Linked DNA regions of Rhinolophus ferrumequinum. The main gene of each other region encodes a partner of the protein of the gene in region 4 in a complex. Links are inferred from orthologs where the notes say so. Each region holds a gene or a part of one and is shown on either strand. Other genes may lie near its edges. The genes, in order: NUP85, CETN2, CETN3 and NUP214.

Evidence for each region.
Region 1: NUP214 (region 4) and NUP85 share a complex: the UniProt entries of both Homo sapiens proteins name them as parts of the nuclear pore complex. The link is inferred for Rhinolophus ferrumequinum from reciprocal best matches to the Homo sapiens genes NUP214 and NUP85.
Region 2: NUP214 (region 4) and CETN2 share a complex: the UniProt entries of both Homo sapiens proteins name them as parts of the nuclear pore complex. The link is inferred for Rhinolophus ferrumequinum from reciprocal best matches to the Homo sapiens genes NUP214 and CETN2.
Region 3: NUP214 (region 4) and CETN3 share a complex: the UniProt entries of both Homo sapiens proteins name them as parts of the nuclear pore complex. The link is inferred for Rhinolophus ferrumequinum from reciprocal best matches to the Homo sapiens genes NUP214 and CETN3.

What each region holds. Positions count from the first base shown.
Region 1 is NC_046304.1:50,237,899-50,245,352, reverse strand, and holds the start of NUP85 (nuclear pore complex protein Nup85), read right to left. Parts: upstream 3,014-7,454; 5' UTR 2,742-3,013; coding exon 2,709-2,741; intron 1-2,708. UniProt on the Homo sapiens protein: Essential component of the nuclear pore complex (NPC) that seems to be required for NPC assembly and maintenance. As part of the NPC Nup107-160 subcomplex plays a role in RNA export and in tethering NUP96/Nup98 and NUP153 to the nucleus.
Region 2 is NC_046284.1:7,308,802-7,315,862, reverse strand, and holds the start of CETN2 (centrin-2), read right to left. Parts: upstream 3,002-7,061; 5' UTR 2,865-3,001; coding exon 2,862-2,864; intron 2,132-2,861; exon of another isoform or gene 2,034-2,131; intron 1,925-2,033; coding exon 1,766-1,924; intron 1,443-1,765; coding exon 1,314-1,442; intron 1-1,313. UniProt on the Homo sapiens protein: Plays a fundamental role in microtubule organizing center structure and function. Required for centriole duplication and correct spindle formation. Has a role in regulating cytokinesis and genome stability via cooperation with CALM1 and CCP110.
Region 3 is NC_046290.1:59,221,849-59,228,992, forward strand, and holds the start of CETN3 (centrin-3), read right to left. Parts: upstream 3,007-7,144; 5' UTR 2,885-3,006; coding exon 2,868-2,884; intron 871-2,867; coding exon 735-870; intron 1-734. UniProt on the Homo sapiens protein: Plays a fundamental role in microtubule-organizing center structure and function. As a component of the TREX-2 complex, involved in the export of mRNAs to the cytoplasm through the nuclear pores.
Region 4 is NC_046295.1:79,177,396-79,185,060, reverse strand, and holds the start of NUP214 (nuclear pore complex protein Nup214), read right to left. Parts: upstream 3,001-7,665; 5' UTR 2,887-3,000; coding exon 2,842-2,886; intron 612-2,841; coding exon 416-611; intron 1-415. Other genes in the region: AIF1L (allograft inflammatory factor 1-like), read right to left, coding at 6,850-6,937. UniProt on the Homo sapiens protein: Part of the nuclear pore complex. Has a critical role in nucleocytoplasmic transport.

The DNA.
Region 1 (7,454 bases), on a different chromosome or scaffold from region 4:
TTTAGGCAGACAACGAATTTGGCTGGCAATAGTCTCGTCAATAGTCTTGTCTCAAGACAAGTTAAGTGCATTCAGTTCTTAGGAAAGGCTAACGCGGTCATTCAACAACTAAGCAATGTGTATTAAGCCTTTTTCTGTGCTGGGCTCTAGGAATACAACAATGTGTACCACAGTCTGTGTCCTCCAAAAGCTAGTGGTCTCCTGACGGAGACCAATAAACAAACAGGCAGTCAGAAAAGGGGAAGTATGCTAAGTCTGAGGTACACACAGAACAGAATCTGTTTTAGCAGACTCGTATTGGATGAGTAGGGCGGGCAAGGAGGAAGCATTATTTGTACATAATGGTGCTGGAACAAATGGGTATCCATATGCAAAAATGAACCTCACACCATAGACAAAAATTCACTAAAAATTAGTCACAGACTCAAATGTAGAGCAAAATCTATAAAACTTGAAAAACATAGTAGAAAATCTTTCTGACCTGAAAGTAAGCAAAGATGTATATAGGACACAAAAAGCATAAGCTATAGCATAAGAAAAATGTATAAACTGCACTTCAACAAAATTAAAATTTTTGCTCTTCATAAGATACTGTTAAGAAAATGAAAAGGCAAGCCGTAGACTGGGAGAAAATATGTGCAAAACACGTATTTGATATCCAGAATATATAAAGAATTCTTACATTTCATTAGTGAAACAACCCAGTAACAAAATGGGCAAAAGATTTTTAACACACACTTCACCAAAGAAGATATACAAATGACATATAAGCCCGTGAAAAGATACTCATTAGGGAAATACAAATGAAAATAACGAGCTACCACTAAATACCCACTGGAATGGAAATGAAAATTAAAAAGACTGATCATACAAAGAATTGATGAGGATGAGAAACAACTGGAACTCTCAGACTTTGCTGCTGCAAAAAGAACTGTACAACCACTTTGGAAAACTGAGCTTATTTTAGCTAAATATGCATCTGTCCTATAACCCAGCAATTCTCCTTTTAGGTATGTATCTGGAATTAAACAAAACAAAAAAGACAATGAAAACTGTAACTTACACTTTTTAAGAGCTCTTGAACCAAAAGGAAAAGAAGACCAGTGGTCTAGAAAAACTACTCAAGATTATTCTACCTACTTTGAATCTACATTTAAATATCCTCGAATCTGCCAGTTACTAACTGGACTTCAGGTGCCTTGACAATAGGGAGCAGTTGTGTGAAAAGCGGATACAACTGCCATAAAGGGTGACTTAATGGTATTCACAATTATTCATCAGTCTCTTGAGAATGTGTTTAGAGTAAACCCCAAAGGCAGATGAACACTCAAAAACAGACATGACAGCGTTTAAACTCGCAGAGGTGAGCTTCAGACTCTGGACTACAATGCCCCTCCTGTGTGTGCCCATGAGGCCAACCAGTTTTCTACCTGGTCTCCCCAGCACGAATATAGAGCTGGGGTTATCACAAGTCCATCATCACTACTGGGTATAAAAATAAGTAAGCTGAGATCATCTTCATTCCATCTGTAATGAAGCTCTTTATCAAGGCACAGTATCAAAGCAGTGGCTCTCCAGGGCACCACAGGGTACTAGGAAGGCTCCCCCGACCCAAGGAGTCTAACACAAGTGAGAGAGGGAAAGTTTGAAAAAGTTCCAGTGACTCTGATGTTCTAATTTGTCTTCCCACAAACACTGACACAGTCCTTGATGGATAGTTAATATTTAAAGTACTCTGTATAGGTATTAAATTGGAACATTCTACAGCAGTAAGCTTTAAAGAGCATAACAACCCATGTTAATTGCTATTTAAGATCTCATGCCTCCTTTTGTCCAGTCAGCTTTGAAATGACCCCTATTTTCAATTTTTTGTATTGTCGGACACTGCTTTGCAATCTGATGTCTTTGGCTAAAAACTGTAGGCATCTCAACTATCTAGAAAGCAAAAGCACAAGGTATAGCAACTTTCAGTTTAGTGGGGCTTCCAGAGCTAAGACGTGCAGAAGCAGCCCACAATGGGTAGAGGTGTCGGACGTAGTTAGGGAGGTTAGGGAAGGCTTTCCTAAGACACAAGCTGCCGGAGCTTGCATTTAAAAAACGAGCTGGAGATGAGAGAAGAAACGAGCATTCCAGGCAGGGGGAACGGTAGGTATTTTATATCTACAGGCTATGAATTTCTTTTAAAATCCTGGATCTGCAGCAGTTGACATACTGTCTTCAGAGTTCAGATCAAATTGAAAGCAAAATATAAAAAGGAGATAGTCCCCCGAGAGAATAAATTCGTTTAGTAAACCTTAGGCAAGCGCAGCACAAGCAGAAGCCAAGCTCACGGCGCTGCGATGTGAAGCTAAGTTCGGCTGGAAGGAAAAAAGCCCCAATTCTTCTGCCGAGTCCAAGCGCGCTCTTTAGAGCATTAGCCCAACGAGAAAAGCGAGCGGAATAGAAAGGCGCAAAGACGAGGGAGGGAGAGGGACGGAGTGAGGCCTCTGGGGCCAGGTATTCTGAGCATACGAAGCAGCAGAAACCCAGCGACCACTGCGATCCAAACACGGGCAGCTAATTAATGTGACCTCCGGATGGTGGCAACTGAGCTGAGAGAAGGGGGCGGGCGCCTCCCGGGAGGCAGGGAGGTAGACAAGCCTGCAGTGATGAAGCAGACTCAATCCTTGGGCCGCGAGGGCAAACCAGGCTCTTTGGGGCGCCCTTACAGTGACTGTCGGCTCGCCATCGAGCTCCTCCATAGCGCCGCAGCTCAGCTGCCGGGAGGTCGCGAGGCCAGCACAGCTCCCGGCTCGGGCCTCCCGCTCAGAGCCGCTGCAAGAGAGGACCCGACCCGAGCCCCCTCCTGCACTGCCTGCAGGCCCAGATCACCAACGCTGCAGGGGCGTCTCCTCTCGGCCACGGCCACCCCTCTACGGCACTCTACTCGTGTTCTTCCTTCGCGGCCTCGACAACACGTCAGGGAAACCGGCGCCAGGGGCAGCCGATCCTCAGAGGAACCTTCTCGCCAGATCAGGCGCCGCCGGGGACAGCCCCACGCGGGGCGGGGAGAAAGCCCCTGGAGACGGCGGGAGCGGTGGCGGGGCGGCTGCGCGTGCGCGGGCTGGGGTGGCCACTCTGCGTGGAGAGGCGGCGGGGGCCGGGCTCGAGCGAGCGTACCGCCTGTCCCCACTCTGGCTTTCCTTGCGGCTTCTGAGTCTGCAGCTCAGTGTTGTCTCGGCCGCTTCTGTGAGCGGTGTCCAGGGCAAGGGATCCCCGGTCTATCGGGCTTGTGGACGGAGGCAGTCGCTGCCAACTCCCACCCCAAAACGCTCAAGCAGCACGCGGACAAAAGTGATGCAGCCCGACAACTGTGAAATCGGGACAGCTGGGCTTGCTTAACTCAACACAAATACTGGTTTGTTATCTCACCAAAGAAAAGCAGGAAAAGGAAAAAAAACCACAGTCAGAGAATCCCGGTCTTGTTAATGGGAAACTCATTTAAGTTACTAGTGCTCTAGTAACTTAAAGGAGTTATTTATTTTGTAAATGCCATATTTACAAATACGTACACACACACACACACACACAGAAGAGAATAGTGCTGGTTTTACATTCCCAAATAAGCACTTTTTTTTTTTTAACTAACTGAAGATAATTCGAAATTAAAAAATAAGTCTTAGGAAACAGTGCCTGAAAATGTAACAGCTTCTTTTTTTGGGGAAAGATACTTGATCTGAAAATCAAGTTTCAGTTTTTTACCCGGGGAAACAGTTCTTTCCCTGAGATTACTCTGAATGACCTATTTGAATTGGTTGAAATGAGATGACTTGGAGTGGTTAGGAAAATCTCACACCAACAGTTTTTTCTATTTAGGTACAAATTCAGGAAGGAAAATCCTGTGGCTATCACAATTTCATCCAAATCCTTATCTCTTAAGACAGCCATCAATAGGATGACATTTAATGTAGTTTTGCACAAAACTCCACACTTCTACCATCTATAGCTTGGTGCATTTTCCAAATGTTTCACATTTTCACTGATCCAAGTGTTCTGGCACCAATAGTGTGGCTATGAAGTATGAGAAATTATGCATTTATGTCCCTATCCTTAAGAGGTAAAAAGAGGCCTAATATTTTACAAAAGTAAAATAAACAGTAGCAAATAGATCAGTTTAAAAAAACTAGTTATTATATCTGCTCTGGCGACTCAAAATTATTTGAGCAGCAGAAGTTAAAGCAAAGCTTAAGACACTGATAGAAAATATGCCTAATTTCCTTCAGAGAAAATTATTAATTATTCTGGGGAACAGGATGAGTAGAAGGAAAGGAAAAAAATAATAGGATGAAAGACCAAAAAGAAAAACCATCTTCTCTAAAGGAGACCTGAGAAAAAAATAATTTGAACAACAAAGGAGCTTAGAAAATTTTAGTAGTATAGTTTTTTGATATTTTAAGACTGACATAATGTCATTTGAAGATAACAGAAGTATTGAAACTGACCTAGCGATAGATAATATTGGAAAAAAGTATTGAAACTATTCTTTGTTCTAATACCATTATATACAAGCAACCTTACACAATCATTCAAATACATTCATTAATTGGGGAAAAAAAGAAAACTACAGCTAATAGAGTTATTATTCTATACATAGATCATTTTCTTCCTTCTGGTCCTTCTCAATAGTCTTCCAAGAATGGGGTTTCAATGAAGTAGTTTATCCTTTTTTTTTTTTTTTTTTTTTTTTTTAACAGATGAGCCTAAAGGAATACATTTGGGAAAAAAAAAAATAACCAGTACACAAATCTTTTTCTCTTAACCTCTTCACAAGCTCCTTCTCTCCCCCTTTATCCCCCTCCTTTCACTCTCCCTCCTCCTCTCCCTAGAGTGGTTGTTTAACTCTGGAATTCCTGTATCTACTCTGGAGAGTCTTCAATCATGCAGGAGACACTTCAACTTGAGGTATATCAGAACCCTAGGAAGACAGAAAGAGTATAATATTTCTGGAATCAAAAATCTCCTAAAACAAAACATACCTATCGCACAAGAGTCAAACTAGAACTTACTTTAAATCACTCCAAAGTCAAACTTAGAATCATTCTCAGATGAAGCCAGAGGAACTGTGCTAGAGATATGCCATATGTAAAGTGCTAATTGGATGCATTTAATTCATTCTAGTAGAACCAATGCTCCGTAGCCTGCAGAGAAATAAATACATAATCATTTCAAGAGACATAATAAGTTTGGAAAACAAGGTAGAAATCTATTATCAGGAGCCATAGAAATATTTATGCACTTTGATCCAGTAAGTCCTCACTTGAACTTTTATTTCTAATAATTTCAAAACACAAAAGGTATGTGAATTTTGGTAAGTGCTATATAGATAACAACAAAATTTCTCAAATCCCACCCTATTGACGTTTTGGGCCTGATAATTCTATATTGTGAGCTGTCCTGTGCCTTACAGGATGTTTTGCAGAATCCCTGGCCTCTGTCCACTAGATACCATTCATACCTTTTAATGATTGTTGACAACCAAAAATGTCTCTAGATATTCCCAGTATCCCCTAGGGGTAAAATCACCCGTGCTAAGAACTGTCATAGATGTTCATCCATTGAGGAATAGAGGAAGACAATATATCAGTGAGATATTCACCTATTGAGAAGAACTATGAAGACTGATAAGAATATGGGAAAGTCTTTCAAGAAATTTTAAAATGTTCACCTTTTTGTCTCCATAATTGTATTTTTAGGAAATAAGAGGGACATTTTGAATAACCAAAAAACAAAGTCTCACAGCAATCATTAAAATTAATGTGCAATCATTAAAAGATAACTGTAGCAAAATTTTATAAAGGTAAAATGTAGTAAAATTTTGTTAAAAGTTTTATCAATTTTGTAAAAAATAATATGTAGAGAAAAAGATTGGCAGAAATGAGTATTATTACTCTTAAAATCAGAAAAAGTAGGCATGTTTACCACATAATTTTCAGTTTTTAAGAGCAAACGAAAAATTGTATATTTCGACAATTAATGTAAAGAAATTTACGTGTGGATAAAAGTTAGAAAATAAAATTGAGACAGGTGTTATGGGAATATGAAGTAAAAATTTTTATTTAAAAAATGTTTCATTGAAGTTTTTAATACATATAGAGATACTACATAAGACCATGTTTGTGAAAACCTGCTTTATAGTCCTACTAATGTATATCTGGCCACATGAGACTTCAAGTTGAGAAATATGTGACATATTTCTTATTGAAGGTGTAAAAGCTGCTCTAGCCTTGTGGTTTTCAAACTTTAGGGAACTTCATAATTATCTAGAGGGCTTGTTAAACCATTAATTGAGTGATTCCTGGGCTCTGTCCCCAGAGCTTCTAATTCAGTAGGTTGGGGTGGGGCTCAGGTATTTGTCCTCCTGACCTTTCTAAGTGGAAGTGATATTGCCCAAGGGACCATCCTTTAAGAACCATCCTTCCAACTCTATCTTTTCTACCTCAGTGGGGAGTAATCAATCACAAGAACTTGAAGAGTGCAAATATTATCTATATTTGGCACAGCTGCAGAATATAAGCTTAGTTCAGTTTGTTCTCATTCATTCTATGAAACAAACATCCTTGAGTCACTGAGACCTACTTGAATCTAGTAATGGACAGAGAAGTAAGATTGGAGCATTAATGGGGTTAGAAGAACTTGAAATCATCATTCCAATGTAAAGACTACATAACTAACAGGAATTCAGAAACCCTAATTTAGGCATTTTTGGCATTCTCATGATAAGGACTATGTTACTATTGCATCAATAAGTCAGTGAACTCTTATTGATCACCAGCTCTCGGGACTTAGTTATTTGCTGAGATTATGAAGATGAAAAACAATAATCCCTGCTCTCAAAAAGTTTAAAGGACCCTTCTGTAAGTATGTGCAATGTGTACATTCAATGAATGTATGGTATTGTGAAATGGGATGATACTTCCCTACATTTTATACACCAGCTGACACATTTCAAATGTGTTCATACGTTTCATACCAGGTTCTTGGCTTTGACTGCTGGCAGAAACTTGGGCCCCATCTTCTTTGCCATGACCCAGCAATAGAAAGCTGGAAGGTTTCTACGACATCACCATTCTGCCTCCAGATTTCTTGCTGTACTCAGGAATTCAGTATTCCATATTCCTGCAGTATTCACAGAGACAGCTCAAGTTCTCAGCTTACTTTAGATAGAACCTGAAGGAAATTTGATAAACTACCCACAGTTTAGACATCTGTGTTATAGATTCAGTTCATGTGTTTCTCGGGGATTTTTGACAAGGATTTCAAGTTCTAAACAGATTCAGTGATTCTTGTTTTCCTGTACCTTTTAAGAATGATGTTTTTTCTTTGACACCTGACCCTGAGGAGTACATTCTGGATGATTCACCCTATTCTTACTCTCTACTTGTAACACGTTATTGATATTTTATTAGATTTCTAGA
Region 2 (7,061 bases), on a different chromosome or scaffold from region 4:
ATGAGTAGGGAAACACCGCAGTGACTAGTCCTGTAGCCCCACAGCGCCTAGCCTCTCTGCCTTGCCCCTACATCATTACGTGGTCATGGTGGTGGTCTTTATGACAGAGGTCCTAGGTCACAGGAGATCAAACATCATTCTTTCTGTACAAACCAAAGAGAAACTGGATTCGTTTTTAAAATACAGAAGAAGGTGGAGTTCACATCGGGGAGAATATACTCCTTAAGCTGATGGAAGAGGGATCCTCTTGGTGGAGGGGTCAAGAAGCAAAGAGAAGGCTGTTTTACTTGTGATGAGATCATATAGCGTTACTGGGATCCCAAGTCCTCCAACAGAGGAAGAGAGGAAAATCGCTAAAAGCTCAAACTCCCAATATTCCTGAAAGGTAGCTAAAGATAGAGAGAACCCCTAATAAGAGCAATTCGGGAACACCCTTGAATGTGGGACAGCTTTACTAGGTAGTGACAGAATGTTAAGCTTTCTGATCTCTTAAGTTAGTCCATGAAGAAAAATATAGGTATAATTAGATGATTTCAAAGCAACAGAGTTATTAGAGTAGGAACCGATCTGTGCCCTGTGAAACACACCTGAGACACTGATGGAGTTACTACTCAGTATCTGTCTCGACAGACCAGTGGAGCACAGGTGAGCCACACTGAGGAAGAGCCAGGAGGCCAAAGAAAGAGCAATGGCCCAATGGAAACATACTTCCTGGGTGGGATGACAGGGCAGTGAGGTGGGCTGCTGGGGTGACATCTTATAGTCTGTCTTGACCCTTTGGACCCTTTAAAAGAGGGACACCGGAGACACTAGAGAATGGGTAAACTTAACCTTGGAAGTGCTGAAAGATCAAATCCCCAGCGCAGCCTAAAAGCATGGTTGCTGAAGTTACACATCCTCAAGCTAAGGCTGCCCAGAATAACAAATGGGAAAGAAAAGAATTTCAAACTTTAAAATATAGGAACTTTGTCTTATCAAAATGCGAGACACTGTAATGCTGTTGGCGTGTATAGGTTTTACTGCTTGTGGTTATCACATTGACAATTCAGTTGGGGAAAGACAATAGCAAAAATGTGACAGCAGTATACGTTCACTACTTTACAGAGGGTAAAATTACTTTTCCTGTGATTTTGTGGCCCTCAAGAAAGCCAAGCAGAACCAAAAACATCTTAATTCTCAGTCACAAATACTATCTTTTATCAGCTGAACTCTCTAGTTTGTATTAACTTTCCTTCAATGAAGACATTTTCATATCGAGATTCAAATTTGTCCATTATGGGTGGGAAATATGCTGATTTTCTTAGCTAACTTACCATTTTCTGAGTCATCACAGTCAGAAACTTACTAAAGTTCATTTTTCCTGTCCCTTCCTTATCAATTTCACTTATCATTTTCTTGATCTCCTCTTTCTTGGGTTCGAAGCCCAGGGCCCTCATTGCCACCTACAATGAAAAGAGGATCATCTCAATATGCTCATCGAAACCGAGCAGGAGCAAAAATGAATGTTGAGAGCATTAAGCCAGCACCTGACACAATCACATGAAAATAATTGGGAAACACTGGAGCATTAAGCAAATTGATATTTGCACTCATTTTACTTAATAACACTTGGGGTAAGTAAAGACAGGAAAACAGAGCACAGCACATTCTCCCCTTGTTACTTTTTGCAGGGAGAAGAGGGCAGAAGGGGTAGAGCAGTGACAGGGAAAAAAGCCAAAGAGGCAGAGGAAAGGCAAGGCAGCGAGTAGGATTGCACAGGGCTTGCCTTAAGTTCCTTAATATCTATAGTCCCAGTTCCGTCAGCATCGAAGAGATCAAAAGCTTCCCGGATTTCCTGTGTCTGCTCTTCAGTAAGCTCTGGCTTAGGACTCATCCTTTTTCGCTGGGTAGTTGATGCCATGTTTGCCTTCTTAAAGTTCGAGGCCTTTAGACATTTTACAAACACATAAGCACCATATTATGTACCACAGTCCATATTTTGCATAAAATCGTTAGAGACAACCATATCTGTTTTAAAAATAGTTTATACCAACCAATCCTGAAGCTTTGCTTAACTGGAGAGATAGTAGGGTTTACTGGGCAAAACAAAGAATCTTTCCATGTAGCTCTATCCCTTTCCTCTTCTTTATATTGTTTCTAGAAACAAGGACATCCCTTATTGAAATCATCCGTAAAGAGAGCTAGCTAGCCAAGGAGCGGAGTATGAATAACTGGACAGATAATAAACTCTCCCTGAATTTGGGGATCCTAATTCTAGAAATGTCCTTACAATGCCCACTCGCGGTACTCCGCTTCCCTCTAAGTATTCTGACTTTGTGACTACTTCTAGATTTAGCCAAATATTACTAAGTTATTAAGATGCATATTCTGTCAATATCGAATAATAAAATTCAATCCACTTGGCTCATCTGTGCTTTCCCCAAAAAGCTCAATGCGTCTCCCAAATGGCCCGATACTTAAAATTTAAAATGCAAGTTAACAATCCAACGTCGTAAACCTCCCCCCCCCCCGCCCCCGGCATTGTGCGGAAACTTTGGTCGCACAAGGCGGCCAGGAGACCACGGTCTGAGAGGGGTCAGACCCTGCGGGGAACCTGAGTCTTCTTCACCCAGGAACCGGTAACCGAGGGGGCAGGGAAGGCCAGGGGAGCCCGAAGGGCGGGTGGGGGCCGGCTGTGGGTGCAGGGGAGGCAGTGGCGAATCACAGGCCCAGCAGGGTGGCTGGCATCTCTTCCCAGCCCTTCCGGGAAACACATCATAGAAGCAGGGGCGCACCAAAGCCGAGAACGGTGCAGGAGAGGTGGCGGGGTCAGAAGGGCTCGGCCTCTGGGCAAGGGGCGCGACAGGGCAGCTGGCACTCACCATCGCCGACAGACTGCTCCGCCCGTTGTTACGGCAACAGACGTACACACAGCCTGGGCGCAATTCCCACCGACCCGCGCGCACTGACCCGCTCGCTGCCGCCGCTCACCATTGGCGCAGGGCTGGAGGGGGTGGGAGTACACCGACAAAGGCCCGGATCAGGGCGGGGAGCGCGCTCAGGCAGCCGAGCCCTGGCCTCATTGGGCTGGATCGCGCCGCGAGAGTTGATTGGCTGAGCCAACGCCAAGCCGAGCCAGTCGGGGTAGTGGAGGACCGTCGGGCGATCATCAGCTCAGGCGGGCGGGGAGAAAAGGGCGGCGAGCTGCGGGAGCTTGGCGGGTGCTGGCTGCGGGCGCGCTGAGGCCGGTCAGTGGGACATCTAGGGACAGGTAAGTGTCGCCTCCGAGCCCCTGGAGGCCGCCTTATGTAGGCAACTGGGCGGGAGGGCAAGGGGCTGGGTGGGGCGATCCGGGTCGGGGCTTTCTGCTCTGGCCTAAGACTGAGTTAGAGTCAGAGGGACTCAGAGGAGTCAGAGAAGATCATAACTTTACAGGTCACCTATGGAGAGCGCGGCGGCCCGCGCGGGTCGGTGGGAACTGCTCTGAGTTGTGTGTGTACGTCGGCTGTAGCAACAATGGGCGGCGGAGTGTGTCCGCGGTGGTGAGCGCCGGCTACTCACAGAGCGACTGAGACCCAGAAAAAGGAAAGGGACATGGCAAGCATTGTGGCACAGGTCCGGACAGCTGAAACTTAGAAGCTGAATCCAGCTGTGGCTCTTTGAGGGTGTCCCTTTGAGAGCATCCGCCCCCCAGACCACGTTCCAAGAGAGGATCATTTGAGTTCTCCCCTAGCTAAAAGCAGCCCAGGAAGGTGAATAGACTTTGAAGGGAGTGAAGGAGATACGAGTGAGCATGAGGGGGAGAGGTCATCAAAATGCTCTGACATCCAGTCAAAGGCGGAAAAGGAAGGGCATTCCAGGCCGAGATACCTTCATGAGCAAAGTAGCAGAGGAGTTTTGGAAGTGTGAGGCATGCTTGGAGAATTACAAGGGGGCGTGTGCAAGGGTTTGGGCTGAAATGGAGCTGCGGCAGTGGAGCTGCAGGCCCAGGTCCGCCCCGCCTAAGAGCGCTCTGTGGCTCTCAGCATTTACCTGCTTCCCCTCTGGGCAGTGGGGCAGTATTTAGGCAGGCAGGGGACACAGCATAAGTTTCTCAGGCCAAGAAAGGCCTGAGGTTTATTAGCATTCCTTAAATGAAAATGTTCACCGATCTTCTGCCCTTTGCCCTCTTCCCCTTCGAGCACGAACCAGGTCCCAAACCTTTTGGTTATATTTGATCCTTTCTTTTTCTGTTCCCTCCCCCATTAACCAGCCTCCAAGTTCTATCAGTTCTCCCCCTTATCTGCCATTTATTTTCTTTTCCACCTCTGTTGCTCCACTCCCAACTAGTTCAAGCTCAAGTTCTCCCCTTGGTCTGCAAGGCCTGGTATGACATGCCCCCACGTCTCCCCTGGCTCCTCCAGCCCCGGGACATTGGCTTCCTTGCTGGGCCTCAAATGCACAGGCAGACTCCTATCTTAGAACTTCTGCGCCGGCTGTGCCTTTTCTGCCTGCTTGGTCCACCTCTTTCCCTGCACCAGGTCCTTGCTCAGTGAGCCATCCTAAGCAGCCTATTTAGCACTGCAGCCCCCAGCACACCCAAGGCCCCCACCCACCTTGCTCTGCTTTTTCCCCCATAGTGCTTATCACCTTCTAACCTATGGTATATTTTACTTATTTGCTATGTTCTTTATTGTCCATCCAGTAGAAGGTAAGCTCAGTAAGGGCAGACATCTTTGTTTTGTTCACTGCTAGCACTCCAGGACCAGCAACAGTGATGGGCACATATTAGGTGCTCAGTAAATCTCAATTGAAAGACTGGTGAGTAGTCCCCCCGTTTCCTGCTTCTCACCTGTCTAGTCTTCCCTGCTTTGCCAGGTTAATCTTCCCAGTGAACAGCTCTGGCCAGGTCACCCCATGCTTTTAAACCTTCGGTGGCTTCCCATGACTACAGAGTAAAGTCCAGACTCAGCCTGGCATCCGAGCCGCCTGCCCTGTTTTGCCCGTTAGTCCTTCTAACATCGTGTCCCTCCACACCCTACTTCCCAGTCAGACTGCAGGTGGCAGCATGGCAGAGGAGAAGGAACCACCACAAGTTCTACCTTGGCCTATAGGAGCTGTGTGACTTTGGGCAAGTTGGTTGACCTCTCTGAGACTCTATTGAATGAGACCACTACTGTCTCCCTAACTAGATACTTTTTGGATCTTAATGGTATAATATGGTCATATGTACAAGGGCCTGACAGCAGGTTTTCAGGCAATATCAGTTCTCTTCTCTGATTTGTTCTTGTCATTCCACCTACCTGGAGGCTGGAGGCTTAGCCATGGCTAAAATCCCTTCACACTGCAGCCAGAGGGATATTTCTGATCTCTTCACTCACGCTGCTTACAACTTCCAGGGGCTCCCCATCTCCTCCTTGGGTAACTCCTTAACCTGACAAACAGCCCTGCGTGTTCCCCAACTTTGCTCCCAATCTTGCTTCACACTTGCCATGACACAGCTTGTCGTAGTTGCCAGACATGCTGGCTCTGTGCTCTGTCACCTCATCCTTCCCACCCCGGGCCATGGAATGTTTTCCGGGCACCCACCCTCTCCGCTTAACTCACTCCTCTGGGGCCTTGAGAGCTCAGTTCAGGGATCGCCTTCTGGGACAGGCTCCCTGACCTGGGTTTATCCTCAGCAGAGCTCAGGGGCACTTCTACAGTGCTCTGCTAGGTGTGTCTCCCACGCTAGGTGGCGAGCTCCCTGTGTTAACGCAGGTTCTGCTTGGCGGTGTCCGGCTTGTGGTGCCCTGTGAATGATGGAATGTAGGAATGAGCGAGCTGATACCCTGAGGCTCTTTCACAAGCTGCATCTCCGCTCTAACCCGTGGGGCTTGTTTGGGCCCCACAGCAGCTCTGAGGACGGCAGGAGAGATTACTGCTCTACAGATGAAGCCTCTTAGACCAGCCGCAGCAGCACAGTTCAACCCAGATTCCATTCCCGATTCTTTGCTGGCACTCCAGACGCTCACAGCCTAGTGGGCCAAGACAGATATGGGGGGAAAAAAGTATAATCCTGTGCGATGTGCTAGAATGGGAGCAGACACAGGTGCTAAGGAAGTAGCTAAGCTTTCCTGGAGGGGGGAGGTTTTACGGAGGTGACAGTGGAGCTAGGCCTTGAAGGATGAGAAAGGTCTTACCACAGAGAGGGGAGGGAACAGTATACGCTAAAGCTCACAGTCATGCTGATGGGTTTCTCCGTGGCCACCACAAATTCAAAGTCACTTGTCATACAAGCGAATAGACAAGCAGAGAGACAAATGATAGACAGAAACCTGCACATACCTCAGGTCTGTGAAAGACAAGGAGGGAACACTCGTCTTTCTCTCTCTGGTTTGAAATGGACAGACTATCCCTTCCTTTTGTCTCCGGGACTCAGTAATGTGGAACTTTTCCCAGCAGGAAGGAGGAGATTGGGTTCACTCGCTCCTCTCTTCATCGAATTCTGTTAGCGGCCCTCCTCTTTTTGCCCAGAAGTTGAGCGAGGCATTCGGATTTCACCAGTGGAAGGTGGTTCTCTTTTCCTAGATTCCTTTCCGCCTAAGACTTTGTCCCAGTGTGTGTAAGAGGGCATGCATTACTGGTTTTTAATGGATTCCAAGACCTACCGTCTTAAAGGAGAAAGACTTCAGGCTTCTGATTTGTGAACCTTAACAAGCCCAGTCCTTAGAACATTGCTCTTTGGGGTCTTATTTTTCCATCCAGAGCTGTTCTTCTAAGTGTATGCGTGGTAAAATAGACAGAACTGAAAATTGGCCATTTTAGCCATTTTCAAGTGTATAGTTCAGTGGCATTAAGTTGATTCACAGTGTTGTGCGACCATCACCACTGTCCATCTCCGGAACTCTTTTCATCTTGTAGAACTGAAACTCTATAGCTACTAAGCAGTCACTCCCCGATTCCCCCCGCCACTGGCACCCACCATGCTGCTTTCTGTCTGTGAATTTGAGTACTCATTGTACAGTATTTGTTCTTTTGTGTCTGGCTTGTCCACTTAGCATAATCTTCCCAAGGTTCTCGTGTCCCATAGCGTCATGTCCTTAAGGTTCATCCGTGTTGTG
Region 3 (7,144 bases), on a different chromosome or scaffold from region 4:
CTAATGGTAGTGTACAAGATGAACTAGAAATGGAGAAACCATTTAGGAAGCTCCAGGTATGAAATAAGATCCCAAACCAAGATAAAAACAGTGGCAACAAATGAAAGAGACATTATAAAAGAAAAACTTAAAAAAGCTGGAAAAAGAGCTAAAGAGCTACAAAAAAGGTTTTTCACTGTGCTGAGTGTCAGATCCATACTACCCAAACACTAATTTCCCGTTATCTTTATAAGTAATTCTAAGCCTTAAAGGAGACATTTTTCCCCATTTATCATTGGGTCAACATCACACATCATGTATGTTGTTTGCACCAGAGAAGGTAGGTTGAAACTGTTACGAAAATGTTCAAATTAAAAGATAAATAACACTCCCCCAACTGGAAAAAAGAACGTCTCAAAAAAAAAAGTGGGGAGAAGAATACAGTAAAAACGGCTTACATCCTGTAGTTTGAAAAAATTCAATTATGCAAATAAAAAAATAAGCCCCTCCATAGCAATATATTTTTCACATTTAAAATGCTATTCATTTTACCATGAAAAGGAGTTTATTTTAGAATATGTTAGAGTACTATTCAATTTTATTATAGCACTTAACTGTGAATGTTTAAAAGGGTTTCAAATTTCCAAAACAGTTTAGTTAAAATACTTATTTAGAAATGTATTTTTAACCAACTGTCAAAAATGCAAAGCATTTTTACAGAAAAAAATATACTACATTTTAAAGTATACTACTACCTTTAATTCATGATAATCTATTGCTTCATCTTTGTCGGTGTCAAATAGTTCAAAAGCATCTTTGATTTCTTGTTTCTGTTCTTCAGAGAGTTCTCTTCTTTTTTTCCTCTTTGTTTTGTCTACTACAAGTTCATTTCTATGAAATGAAAAGAATAAAGTTTAGTCCACTTAAATCCTATTTAGTGCACTTTATTTAGTCTATTTAAATCCTATTCTCCTAATGCCTGTAGATGATTAAGATTTCAAAAATGCAACCAAAAAATTTAACCAGTGAATAATTTTCTAAATTTCTTAAAAGATGTATCTGGAGACTGATAAAGTATCCTTACATGAGTCAAAGCCTTGATCATTGCATAGTTTGAGCTGCTATAAACTTGCACTTCCCCAAACTTATTAAAAAAAATTTTAATAATGCTACAGCTTATTAAAAAATAAAAAATGAGGACCTAACTTTCCTTCTTCCTAGCTTTGTATTTATTCCCACAAATGTTACTGTGGACAAAGCAAGAACTGTGAATAAGAAACATTCCTTTATGTCAGAAACCCCAACAAAAAAACAAATTTATTATAAAAAACATACTTATTATTCAAATCATTCTACAACATAAAGTGTTTTTTAAAAAAGAAAGTAAAATTTATAATTGACAATCACGATATACTTGGTTTACTTTTGATAGTGCTTATAATTGTTATCAAAATTACTATCAAAAAACGTGTAATTTATCAATTAACTTAAAAAGTCTTTTGGCATTGTAGGTTAGAAATGTTTTTAGATTACTCATTTCTAAGTTTGGCGCTTTATAATTTCTTCCACCGACATTAACAAATAAGTCAAAATATTGAGTCTAAAGATATCACTACTATTAAACTCCAAAAGTTACATAAAATTTGTGCTAATTCTACATAATAATATGAAGAGTCAATGGTCAAGTCTCACTTAACATGTAAATGTAGATTTAATTTCTCATAAACTCTGGAAAAAACTTTTAAAAGGAAATTTAAAAGCCAGAAATGTCTTCCTTAAGAGATGCCAATCAACCTAAGCGTTCTAAGTTTTCAAATGGGGCTGCAACACTTGTAGCAGTTTTAAAACAGAAAATTCTATAAAACTTTAAAATGTAAAACCCAGTTGATTTTATTAGAACACGTGATCTATTCGCATTTGAAGGTGTTCTCTGAAATCTATAAAAAGAAAAACAAAGGCAAGAGATGACTAGAAGAGGTAGGATAAAGCTGAAGATCTTTCACAAGAGCCCAGACTTCACACCAGCTTGAACATTACTGGAGTAATTTTCTTCCCACGATTCAAAGCTGCCAAGTCCACAATCGACAGACAACTGACCCCATCCAAAGATATACCACCATTATCCCATAGCAGAACACAACACCTTTTTAAGAGTGGTGTAACTATATAATTATTTTTAAGGTAAAACATCTCCAGATGTTGCCAAAAAAGGTATACACATTTTAAGAAAGGAAAAAAACTGTATTAAAATTGTAATACTCAATATATACCAATAACTGAACATAAATACAAGTCATGTGTATACATTTTTTGGCTCCCCAGTAGATGAGGCTAGGGGAGGGGGCAACCAACAGAGGATTACAAGGTGGAACTGAATGAAAGGTAAAGAAACTCAAGAAATGTAGGTAATTGGGGTCTCCAAATAACCGTAGATCAGGGCCCCAGGAGAAGAGCAAGAAGGAGTTTTGTTATTTCCAAAATATACATTATGTCAGGAGCAGTGCAGCTGAGGTGGGGGCCGTATACCAAGGAGGAACTGAAGGAAGAGATGCTCCAGGGCCTGATTTCTCGCAGAAACGCTAAAAACCTCGCGATATTTCCCTGCCTCCTTGGAACTAAAACAGCTGCCATCTCTTAGGCGGTCCAAAAGCCAAGGCGCTAACAGGTATGACCACGTCGGCAGAAATGCACTGGACTCATCACCTGCAGCACACCTGGGCTCGGAGGCTGAGGAGTCCGGGCCCGGGAAGGTTGGCCGAGGCTCCTTTCCCTCTTCCCAAATTGCAACCCCTTCCTCGCCTCGGCCCCAAACTGTTTCCCTTCCACACACACCCGCCCTGGGGCCCGCTGCGGGCTGTGGAGTGCATTCCCGCCTCCTCATTACCGACCTCAGAGCTAAACTCATTTTCTCTTCGGACAGAGACGTTCCTCTCAAGAACGACTTTAACCTCCTACCCAAAGAAGCACGACTTCCACAAGCTGTTCAACACACACCAACGACCTCAGCGGCCTTGAGGACCTCCCACAAGGTAGACACTTCCGAGCCGGATTGGTTGAAATTGCTAATGCCATGCCCATTGAGGTGGAGGCATCACTAGTCCTCTGCTCTCATTGGGCACATTCCGCGTCAATCAAATAAATCTCTCCGCGGGCCTCTCCAGCTGTTTCTTTCGCGCTTTAGATTGGCCCGTTGCGTTTTCCCCGAATCCTTTGCGGAGCGAGGATTTGAGTCCCTGCGTGGTGGTCCCGGGGATGGGTGGGTGGCCCTCACCTCGCGGGAGGTGGCCTTGGACTGTGGGCGATTGTCCGGAGACAAGACGGACAGCGACGAGGGAAGGAAAGGGTGGGAAGAGAAGAGACACGCTGCAGGCTGTCCTCTGGGAAGAGGTCTGCGAAAGTTAGTTCTTCTGTATTCCATAAACTTGGAAGGCCTAAGTACAGGAGTTTGTTTAAAACGCAAATTTAAATGCCCCTTACCCCCATTCTGATGCCAATGATTGTGAATCAGCTTTTTTTTTTTCCCCCTCTCTCCTTACAAACTATCCTAGTGATTCTGAGGCAGGTTCTATGGATTATATATATGTGAATAATCACTGTGTTGGATTATTAACCTGTTTACGGTGAAGCTGTATCTAAACACCCTTTTGCCCCCCTTCCTCCTTTGGACGGATTTGTTCACTTTTGCCCTTTATTTCCAGTGCTGTAAGCTGCTTGTACACGTTATCTCCCCTACCACACCAAGTCTCTCGAAGTTCACTTGGTATTTAATATGTTTAGTTGTTCATCTCTTATGCTGAATTTCTTGAAGGCCAGGATTATATCTTTCATTTAATGCTCTTCCCAGTGCCTAACAATGGGGCATACGTAGGTGCTCAATAAATACTTGCTCATTGAGTGGAGTCTTGCTGTGAAAACTCACAAAGTGCTGAACTAAATTACAAATCTCAAAGGAATAAAGAGCCTGAGGGTGAAGATCTAGCGGGGTGGGCGGTGGGAAAATATATAAACACCATGGTGTGCGTATAAAGTGATATGTATAAAGGTTTAGAGAAGGGAGAGAACAGGCAGGGTAGAAGAAAGACTTCTTGCAGATTACATATATATTAGGCCTAGGAAGATGAGCTAAATTGGAACAAGTAAAGATAGTATGATCGAATAAAGCTGAAAATAACTAAAGCATTTCCCTTCCTCCCCCCAAAAAAACAAAAGCAGAAAACTTTACATTTTAAAGTACCTTTATAAATCACCTTTGAGTTTAAAAGGAAAGTAAAATTGCAATTACAGATGATTCTCAACTTTTGATTGGGTTACATCCAGGTAAACCCATGGTAAATTGAAAGTATCGTTAAGTTGAAAATGCATTTAATACATGTAACCTACCGAACATCATAGCTTAGTCTGCTGTACATTAACTGTGCTCAGAACATGATATCCAAAAAAACACTGACAATGAAGTTCACTGTAGAGTATTAGTTGTTTACCCTCGTGATTCCCTGTCTGACTGGGAGCTGCAGAATTCTGCCAGTGTCCAGCCTCCTGACAGTATCATACTGCTTATAGGTTACCCTGGAAAAGGTCAAAATTTGAAGTATGGTTTCTACGGGATGCACATCACTTTTCACATCATCATAAAGTTTGAATATCCTGAATTGAAACATCTTAGTCATGGACCATCTCTACACACTAGAAGTTAATGACAATGAAAAAACTACATAGTAAAATTGTAAGGCATAGACCAAGCTGTAGAAGAAAATTATTAAATAAGAAAAATTGAAAATAAACCAGGTATTTATTTGAAGTAGTTAGAAGTGAAGAACAAAATCAACTACTTGAAATGAGAAGAAATTACTAAAGATAATGACAAACGAATTAGAACACAAATTTTAAAAAGACAATTGTTAATAAATGTGTAGGGTATTCTCATAACATGGTTCTTGGCAATACCAATAAAATTGACATTTATGGAAGTGTAACAATCAAGGGAATACTGCCATTAATAAGGTTGGTAGTTTAAAAGAGGTTTCAAAATTATTGAAATATTGCCAATAAATATTAATATCAAAATGAAAGTCACTTTTCAAGGAAAACAAAGATAAGGACTCAAAAAAAAAAAAAAAGACCAGAAAACTAAATTAAGTCAATAACTATAGATAAGACTGAAAAAATGATGCCAAAGTTCTGTACCACAAAATAAAAAGGCATCCATTGAACCCAGTCAGATTTATGGATAAGTTTTAAAAATCCTTGAAAAGCTGATTATTGTGCTTTAAACTCAAAGCATGATAGAAAGCATCTTAGCTTAATTTTTGAAGGTAGCATAACACTTAGCATCCTAAAAAGCATTTAAAATTACTGAATGTATGCTCCATGTTGAGAATGTGGGCATGTTGCCCACCATTGTATGTGCCTCGCTCATGTTTGATGTTAATTAGTGAACATATGTGTAAAAAATTCTAGATGTTGGCAAAAATCAATTTGGTATTGCCTTAAAGGAACTATAACCAAATAGGATGTATTTTTAAAATGCAAAGATAATTCAAAATAGAAGTCTATATTAATTAATCATAACTGTAGTTTAAGGAGATCATCTCAATGTCCTAAAAGGCACTAGAAATATTCAACATCTATTCCTAATAAAATGTATATTAATAAACCAGGTGTAGAAGGTACTTTGTTAAATTGAACAATATACTTAATAAAATGGTAGTGTTTCTCAGTTTTGATCCATGAAATACTAGAATTTTGTGAGATATAGTCATTTCATGAAGAATGGGTTTCATAAGAAAATAATTTAGGGAAACTGATTTTTAAATGTTAAACTAAAATGTTTTCAACAGGATTTCCTATTAGGGGAATGACTAAGAAGTGAACATGCATCACTTCTGCTCATATTTTATTAGTGAGATTTAGTGACCACTCCTTGCTATAAGGGAGACTGGGGAAAAAATTCTCTAGCTGTAAAACCATGTGCCCTGCTAAAATTTGTGGTCAGATCATCAATAACTAAAAATAAGATAGGATTAGCAGCTCTGCCACAGGCACTATTAAAGCAGTTATCAACACTATCTTTGAACTTCTAATCGATGATGTAATAAAACAAGAAAAAGATATGATATATAAAATTATGTGTGGGTGATATGATTACCTGGAAAAATCCAAGAGTATCAAACTATTGGAATTGATAAAAGAATTCAATAAAGTAGCTGTTTTCAGAAAAATTTGCAAAATCAGTGAGCATTTACATCATAAAATAATAGCAATATGAAATTCCTACATATAAATTTAACAGGAAATTTGTAGGATCAGTAGGTAGAAAAATCACAAAATTTTATTAGGTTGGTGCAAAAGTAATTGTGTTTTTTGCATTTATTATTAACCTTTTATACCACAATTACTTTTGCACCAACCTAATACTAAAGTACATGAGCTTTTAATAAATTAACCAAGAAGGTCCTAGTTAGGAAGATTTGATATTGTAAAAATGTTGATTATATCCTAGATTAATCTGTACATTTAATATAATTGAAATTAAAATTCTCACATTTTCTCTTAACAAATTTGTGTCTCCCCAAAATTCATATGTTGAATTTTGAACCTCCAATGTGACTGTATTTGGAGATAGGACTTTTAAAGAGGTAATTAAGTTTCATGAGGTCATAACCCAACAGAACTTATGTACTTAAAATAAGAGGTAGAAACACTAAGGAATGTGCGCACACAGAGTAAAAAGGCCATGTGAGGACACAGCAAGAAGGCAGCCATCTGCAAGACAAGGAGGGAGGCCTCCAGAGAAACTAACTCTGCTGGCACCTTGATCTTCAACTTCCAGCTTCCAGAACTGTAAATAAGTTTCTGTTGTTTAAGTCACCCAATCTGTGGTATTTTGTCATGGTAGTCCTAGAAGACTAATGCAATAAGAAAATATTAACAGATCCTACTAAAGGAGAATGAAACATTTCTGTATGGCAAAGACTACATTAAGCAAAGTAAACAAGCACACAAATTAAAAGAATGGGATTGGAGGTAAGGTAATTGCATAAAAAATTGTAGGGTCATCAATTTGTGATGGAGAACTGTATCTTCATATATTTCCAAAGTAACACCACACAGATGACTTTGTGGTCCCTAAAGGAAAATGGAATTTTGCTGCAGGGTTTTACCAGTC
Region 4 (7,665 bases):
CACAATATTGCCAACATGCACCCATATTTTGGCAACAATGCTCCCAATAATACACGTTCCTATTTGTTTAGATGGTAGTGTTGAGCCAACGAAAAGGCCGTGCCCCAAAACCCTTCCCTTAGAGAGCCAGGGAACCCAAGTTCAACTGAGCAAAAATAAATACATGGCAGAATGGTCCATTCTCCTTCCCTCTGAGGTCAGAGGAACAACTCATTGAAAGAGAAATACAAAGGACTAAAGAGAACAACCAGACAGGCTTCCAGCCTCCGACCTAGAACTTACTCTTCTTGGGGGTCAACCTCAGGACTGGCAGCAGTTTTAACTTTAATATTAGAATGATTTCTCGGGAAGGAAACTACGTTAGCACTTCATTATACTCCTCTCTCTACTATGCAACATAAAGCAAGTAACTTACCTATCTTATTGGGATCGTCTCCAGGTTTATTTTGAATAAGAAGATTTTTAGTAGTAAAAACTTGCAACCCACTGGCTCCTCCAGCGAAGACCAGGCCATACTTGTTGGACAGGGCAAGCAGACTGCAGCGCTCCTTGGGCAACTCCTCAGGGGAGTCAAAGATTCTCACTTTTTTCAGTGCTCTAAACTGAAAATCCTGTTGTGAGGGATCAAAACAAGATCAGTTCAGGGAAAACAGGAAGTTAAATCATGTCTGTCATCATATTACAGTAGATCCAATTCCAGTACAACCAAAACACCTATTCCCGAGACCAAGGACTGTATGACCAAGCCATTTATAAGCTGCCCATGCGTATTGTGGTACGTGGCATAGCGCTTATTAATATTTATTCAATGGAATAAATTTCTAAAGATTCTATCCTTGACTAATTCAACTCACGGTGACCTTGTCCTTTTCTGAATTCCTAGTTTATTGTCTTAACCACCATCCAAGCTGCACTTTGTTATTTACTACCTTGTCTTAGTTCATGGTATGTATTGTCTCATGACCGAGTAGTGCTTTAAAAGCTGTTAAATATTCAAAGCATCATCCAACTACACTGTAGGCTCAAACTTCTACTGCAGTACTCAACAAATGTGTGTGTGTGTGTGTGTAAACAATGACCACAGAAAGATAACCGAATCCCAAGAAATGACCTACCTGCATCAAATGTTAAACACAAAAAGGATATGCATGGTCAATCTCTTGGTGTTCAAGACCTGAAAACACACCTGGATGCCATGAGGACATTTACACACAGGTGCAAAATCCTTAACACAGGCTGTAAGGCCGACTTGACCCATCCGCCTCTGGAGCCTCACCTTACAACACTGCTTCCCTTCTGCAAGTGCGTGCGACATCACCTCTGCCACATCCACTGCCACCTCCCGGCCCCATGTCTATCCAGTTTTCATTTCCTTCCATTTTCAGGCTCCTTAGTAACTCAGGGCCTGGGAACATTCCCCAACCTCCTGTCAATGCCCGACTCGCGTAGTCTTCCATGAATTTATCTACATGCTTCCAAAGACAATTTTCAGCGCGCAGAACCTCTTGGTAAAAAAAGAGTTCCGTAAGTTTACCAAATCACTATGTTAAGGTGTGCTATATGTGGTTGAATTTTTTTTCTTCAATTATATACCTATCCTTAAGTTGAGGTTTGGGTGAAAAGACTGCAAATCCCCTTTTGCTTACATTCCAAAACTGTAAAAGCGAAAGAGAGCCATTATCAGCTTTCACTTTTGTACACTTACGGTGTTTCATACAGGATCCCTAACACACCCCATACAAATTTCCAATGGATTCGATGTTTAATGCACATTTGCTAAAAGATTAACTGAAATACTCTTAATTCCAACTGAGCACGATGATCAAAAACACACACATAGTTTTCCAGGTGAAACCATACTATCTATGGTTTCAAACAGAAGTAAAATAAAATTTTTCGGTCTGTTTTTGTGACTCTCATCCTGATAATCCCAAATATCCTATTTGGGTCTTGGTCACATGGGGTGGAGGGCCAGTGAGATGAAAAGGCACCAGAGTGCTCTCCTTTCTGTTGTAATCAGCAACTTAAAGGGACACTACCATCTTCTAAGTCTGTGGTTCTAAAACCTTTTTTCCTTCAGCCCCAGCGTGTCTGAGGAATACGGCACCTTCTCATTGGGTGGTTCACTCAGGCAGTGATTCTCAAGAAGGAAGAGAGAGTCACTACTCTCTAAACGTATTTCAGTGATTTGCTGTTCGAATGCCTAACATCTTCCGCAACTTACTCCCTTTCAGGTGCTTGTAACCATCACATCATTGGGATCACGTGCCCCTCTCCTTAGTTTCCCGACTTCAAGCAGACTTCCAGTACCAGAACAGTCCTCCTATTCTAACGAACTAGATTTTGTAGGATAGGTGATGAACCCCGGCTCTGCATCAGACAAGCCCGGAGAACCTTACAGAAGTAAGACAATGAGAGTGAAGAGAGGGTCTTACAAAACACACCTGCATTACAGCCTCCTCGTCAAATGCGATTTTGGGTAAGTTACCTTCCGAACCTTGACTTGCATCTTTATATTAACTATTTCGTAGGGTTGCTGTGTGATTACCCCAGTGCCTGGCTCACAGTAAACGCTCAATAAACAGCAATTATTACCGCTACTCCGACCACCATATTAAAGTAGCTAGAGAAACTGAGGTGGAGCGCACAAGACCACCCAGGGAAGGGGACACTGCACTCGGCGGGGCGAACACGCCGGCGGCACCGCAGAGTGCTCCAGGACGCGTAGGTGAGAACTCTGAACGCCGGGAAAGTTCAAGCGGGAGGCGGGGCAGCCGGCACCCGCGCTTCGCCGTTCAGCGGGGCTCCAAGGCAACGCGAAGGCCCCGGCCAGTATCTGACCTTCATCTCCCGCTCGGGGATCATGGCATCCATCTCGTCTCCCATCGCGCCGGACTCAGCTGGTCGTAGCAGCAGCCGCAGCTGCCCGCGGCCTTGCCCACACAGCCCAGGCCGCTCCAACGCCAACTTCCTTCCTTCAGCGCTAGCGGCGCGCAGCGAGGCCCGAACTTCCGGCGCGCGTAAATGGCGTCACGCATTTCGGTGGGCGTTGCGGGTCGAGGAGGCTGAGGGAGTATATGAAGTCGCGCGCTCCCGAGGCCGCCGCCTCCCATTGGCCGGCTCGGCCCGCGCGCCTGCGCCCTGGAGCGTCCAGGCCCCGCCCCCCGCGTCCGCAACCAGAACGAGTTTGCTTGGTGTTGGGTTTTTTTCCATCGGACTGCGCATGCTTGAGCGCTCCACGCTCAGTGTTCCGTGGAGACCCCACAGTAACCTTGGGATGGAGGTGGCGATTAATAGTTCTTGATTCAGAGAAGTTGGGACTTGATAAATATTTCCAGGGGAAGCTCTTGAGAGAGGCTTTGGAGGGGGTTGTGGAGGAAAAGGGGTTCAGAAAGTGCGTGGGTTGGGGCCTCGCCACGGGAGACTTCTGCGTCTAAGCACGAACGCTGAAAAAGGGGAGGTTAAAAGGCACCAGAGGTCGTCTTTGTTTATTCCTGTCAAGGTAATCATTTCCGAAGCAAGAGCCTGGAAAGCGCAACACACTTTGGATGTGTTCTTTACTCTTGAAGACGTCCTGGTCCCCCAGGAGTTATTACTGCCGTTTAACTGACGAGGGGACGAAGCAGCAGGGAACGTAAGAAAACCACCCCGCGCCCCGTGGTCGCAAAGCGGTGGAGGCTGGATTAGAATTCAGCTTGTCTGGGTGCTCACTGATGACTGTTATGTACGCATTGCTGCAGTGGATTTATATCTTAAATGCTCTAGGACAGAGGTGCTTAACTTGAAGTAGGGGCCATAGTCTGCCACGGACTGTTTGGTTTTCAGCAAATTGCGCATCTGCTTCAAGGCTGCTTCTCATTTGTAAAACGAGGATGACAAACAACCTGTCTCGTGGGGTGGTCGTGAGAAGTAAATGAAGTTAGAGCTTAACAGAGCCTGCTACACAGGACGCATTCGTTCAATGGTACTTTATCAGGTAGCTTTCCTGAATTTGCTGAGTCCCAGAACCCCTCCCCCAAATACACCAATCAAGACATTGACAGTTTGTCTGTTTTATTCCCAGTGTGCAGAGATGGTATCTGGCACCACACACTCTCATACGCACGCGCACACATACTGCATCCACTTGAACTTGCCCCACACACTCCTTCCTTTTGAGTTGCAGGGACAAAGCCACACTTGGCAATCCCCAAGTTTCTGGTTACATTAGTTAGATTTGGTCTTTCAGAGAGATAGCTGAAATTCTAAGAAAATGAGCCCTTAGCCAGAGAAGTAAGAGTCCCAGGGCCAACAGCCACAACCTGAAATATATGCAGCGCCCCCCCCTTTCCAGAAACCACTCAAGCCCCTCTCCCTCCACCAGCTGAGTTCCAAGAAATGGCAAAGGAACTTGTGTGGTGTCCCAGGATACTCCTATCCAATGAACGCTCTGTCCTGCTCTTTCCAGAAGCTGGGGACACACCCACTCGCTCCCCCTTAAGGCTTCCCATGGCCTTGTAAACTGGGGAACCTGTGGAAAATAAGCCTGGTTGGTTGTGCCCTCCTCTCTGAGTGAGGACCAAGTACACTGACGATGTGACGGGGAGTCAAGACTTGACCTTGCTCAAAGGTCTCGTCGTGTCCTAGAGAGGAGACGTAGTGGGAAGGGGTGGGGACAGGCAGTTGCTCAAATAATGATCTCGGGTGGAAAAAAACCAAGGCAGGGAAGGGGGTGGGGTGAGATTTTACATTTACAGGGAAAACTGTTTTGCTGGGGTTTAAACTTCAACTAGGCCTGTGCATTTGAGCAGCTCCTTAGCCTAAGGACCAACCAGCCACGGCCAGGTAGTCTTGCTCCTGAACTGGTTGAGACCAGCAAATTATCCCAGCCTGGCCCTTACCCCATCCCCGACCTGCTCCACTCCCTTAAGCTGCTGTAAGGCAGCTCCTTGGGTCTTTGATTGTGGGTCACTGAGGAGCCACAGAGAGCCCACCGTGGCTCTAACAGTACCCAGACATTTCCACTTAAGGTTTGGCAAATGCTTTTGCAAGGCTCTTGCTCAGTCTTGAGCCCATCTTGGTCTCCCCAGGATTGCAGTGCAGTCACCCCATGGCCCCCCTTTCCTTTCATCTAACTCGTCCTTGTCCGAGTCTGACTTCCTCACTAGGCTCTTAAATTTCACGTAACTGTCTATTTCATGACTGGGTTCTTAGCTCTCGGCCCATAGCAGGTGCTTAACAAATATGTCCAACTGATGATTGCTTCTAAGTCCTGAGCAGGCAGGGTAAGGGGCTCCAGAACACAGGTGCGGTCAAGGCTGGGGTCCCTGCTCAGCCAAGATGGGGCCGAGTGTGACAGCTTCCTGCGTGAGTTCTGAGAAGTGGCTTAGCTCAGAAGCCCTGGGGAAGGCGGAACCGCAGAGGCAGGCCTGGCCTGTCCCCTGATCCTGCTGCTAACTCAGAGGCACTGGAAAAGGTGAGTCCTGGCCCAGGCCCCGCCCCAAGTGCTGTCCTAGGAAATAGCCTCGCCCTGCCCCTTCCCTTGTTTTCCTCACTGACGGAAGCAGCCCCGAGCAGAGGTGATGCACGGGCAGGCCATCTGAACACCTGGGCTTCAGTCCAGACTCTTCCATCTCGATTAACTCCTAACCTTGGGCCAGGCACTTAATCCCTGGGGGCCACCACAGTTTCCTTACCTGTGAAATGTGAGGACTGGCCCAGCTAACCTACAGGGGGATCAGACCTCTAAGACCCTGTGAGTCCATAATAAGGGACACAGGTGACCCCAATGGAATCCCCATGCTCAAGGGTTTTGGGCGATTTGGAAATGGGGAAATGAGTTAGAGACAGTGGACACAGCACATGTCAGGACAAAGTGGAGGGGGCCGGCCTTAAAGCTTATAATAGATGGTCAATAAATATCTGTTGAATGACTGAGTAAATGAATGGTCTGAGTAAGTTGGGCAGGTCGTGGGGGAAGCAGTCGGTTTTCAAGCAGACTGGGATCAGAAAGGCAACCTCCTGTGTCTCAGTTCTTGGCTTAACAGTGGTGCTGACTTTTTGCCGTGAACATTTTATTCCTCATTCCCCTAGCCTGTTGCCCTCAGCATCCTCCTAAAAGGTGGGACTAGACTGAGCTGAACCCCGCTCCCCAAGGCCCCTGGCCTCCCCTCTACCTCTGAAGCCCTCTGCTGCCCCAGCAAGGGACAGGGCTCCCTCTGAGCTGTCTATGAAGGTGTGGACAAGGGGTAAGGCCAGAAGATTCCTTCCAGAACCTTCTTGAGGGTCTCCAATTACCAAGCCCCTCTCCTTGTCTCCTTCTGCACCTCATTAAGGGCGAGAAGAAGTGTGGCCCGAGCGGGGATCAGCTGGGGCAGTGAGTGGCCACGTCCTGGACAACCTGAGAGCACCGGAACTTCAGAGCATCTGAGGAAACCCTAGTGAGGCCCTGCAGCCTCGTCCCTACTCCAGGGTCTTCTGAAAGTGGGCTGAGGTCCTCACCAGAGCCAGGCCAGCGAGCCTGGACTTAGCTCAGTGACCTCCAGCAAGGATGGACAATGCCGGCTCCAAGTGTGGGGATCACAGGCTTCCAGCTTCCCTGCCCTGGCCCCGCCACTTCCGGTTTTTGGTTTGATGTCAGCCCTTCTGCACAGGGAGTGGGGAAGGAGGGAAGAAGAGAGGGAGGGGCCCCAGAGCCCCTTTAAGGCAGATCATTTGTGCTTTACAAAGAGATCAGATTCTGCAGATGAAAAAACAATCATGCCCAACAACCAGGAAAAAAAAAAAGACATTGCAATGAGTCCAGAAGTGCAGCAAGATCAGGAGGGAGGGGTGGGGCAGGGAGGGCAGGGACAGGTCCCCGCGGGGTCCTCAGGGCAGGCTGGCAATGTCTCTCTCTGGAGGGGGACCGACTGGCTTGGGACTGCTCTCGGTGGCCTTTCCTTCAAACATCATGACTCTGGTTTAGAGATGGAAAAAAAAACACAAAACGAAACAAGATTAGGATTCCTCCCCTCACCCAGGGAAAGCTCACCCAGCCCTCACGTCCGCAAAGTCCTCAGCAGAATGCCCTTCATCCATTCTCCAGCAGGATCTTCTCGGAAGCCTAGGATGGCAGCTGCATGGAAGGGACTCCTAGTCCCATTTGACAGAGGAGAAAATGGCGCAAAGTGGCGACATGACTCCTCAGAGCCACAAGCAGTCCAAGCAGGATGAGAGCCTAGATCTCTGACTTCCAGGCCATGCACCTTCCCCTAACCACGCTGCCTGGAGGAGGCAGAGCTAGGCTGGGCCACGGCTCTGCTCACAACCCCTTTGGAGCTTCAAAACCTCCCACTGCTCCGAGGGTCAAGTCGGGGGGTGTAGGGCACAGGGGTTTATGGTGCAGCCTCTGGAGGGAAACAGCCTGGATTGGAGTCCCAGCCCAGCTACCGTCCCAGCTCGTGACTCCAGGAAGACACTTAACCCCACGGATGCTGTGTTTCCATCCGGAAGTGGGGGTGCCCGAAGTGTTGACGTCGGGAGCTGCTCCAAGCATCAGTGCCCTACTCCATCTGTAGTCACTCCCTGGGTGGGCTCTTCCAGTCATTGGCTTTACATCCCATCCAAAGGGTGACAGTCCACAAACAGCTTATCTCTGAGATCCAGATTTGCACCTCCAGCTCCCTCCTCCCCTCTCCCCTTGGA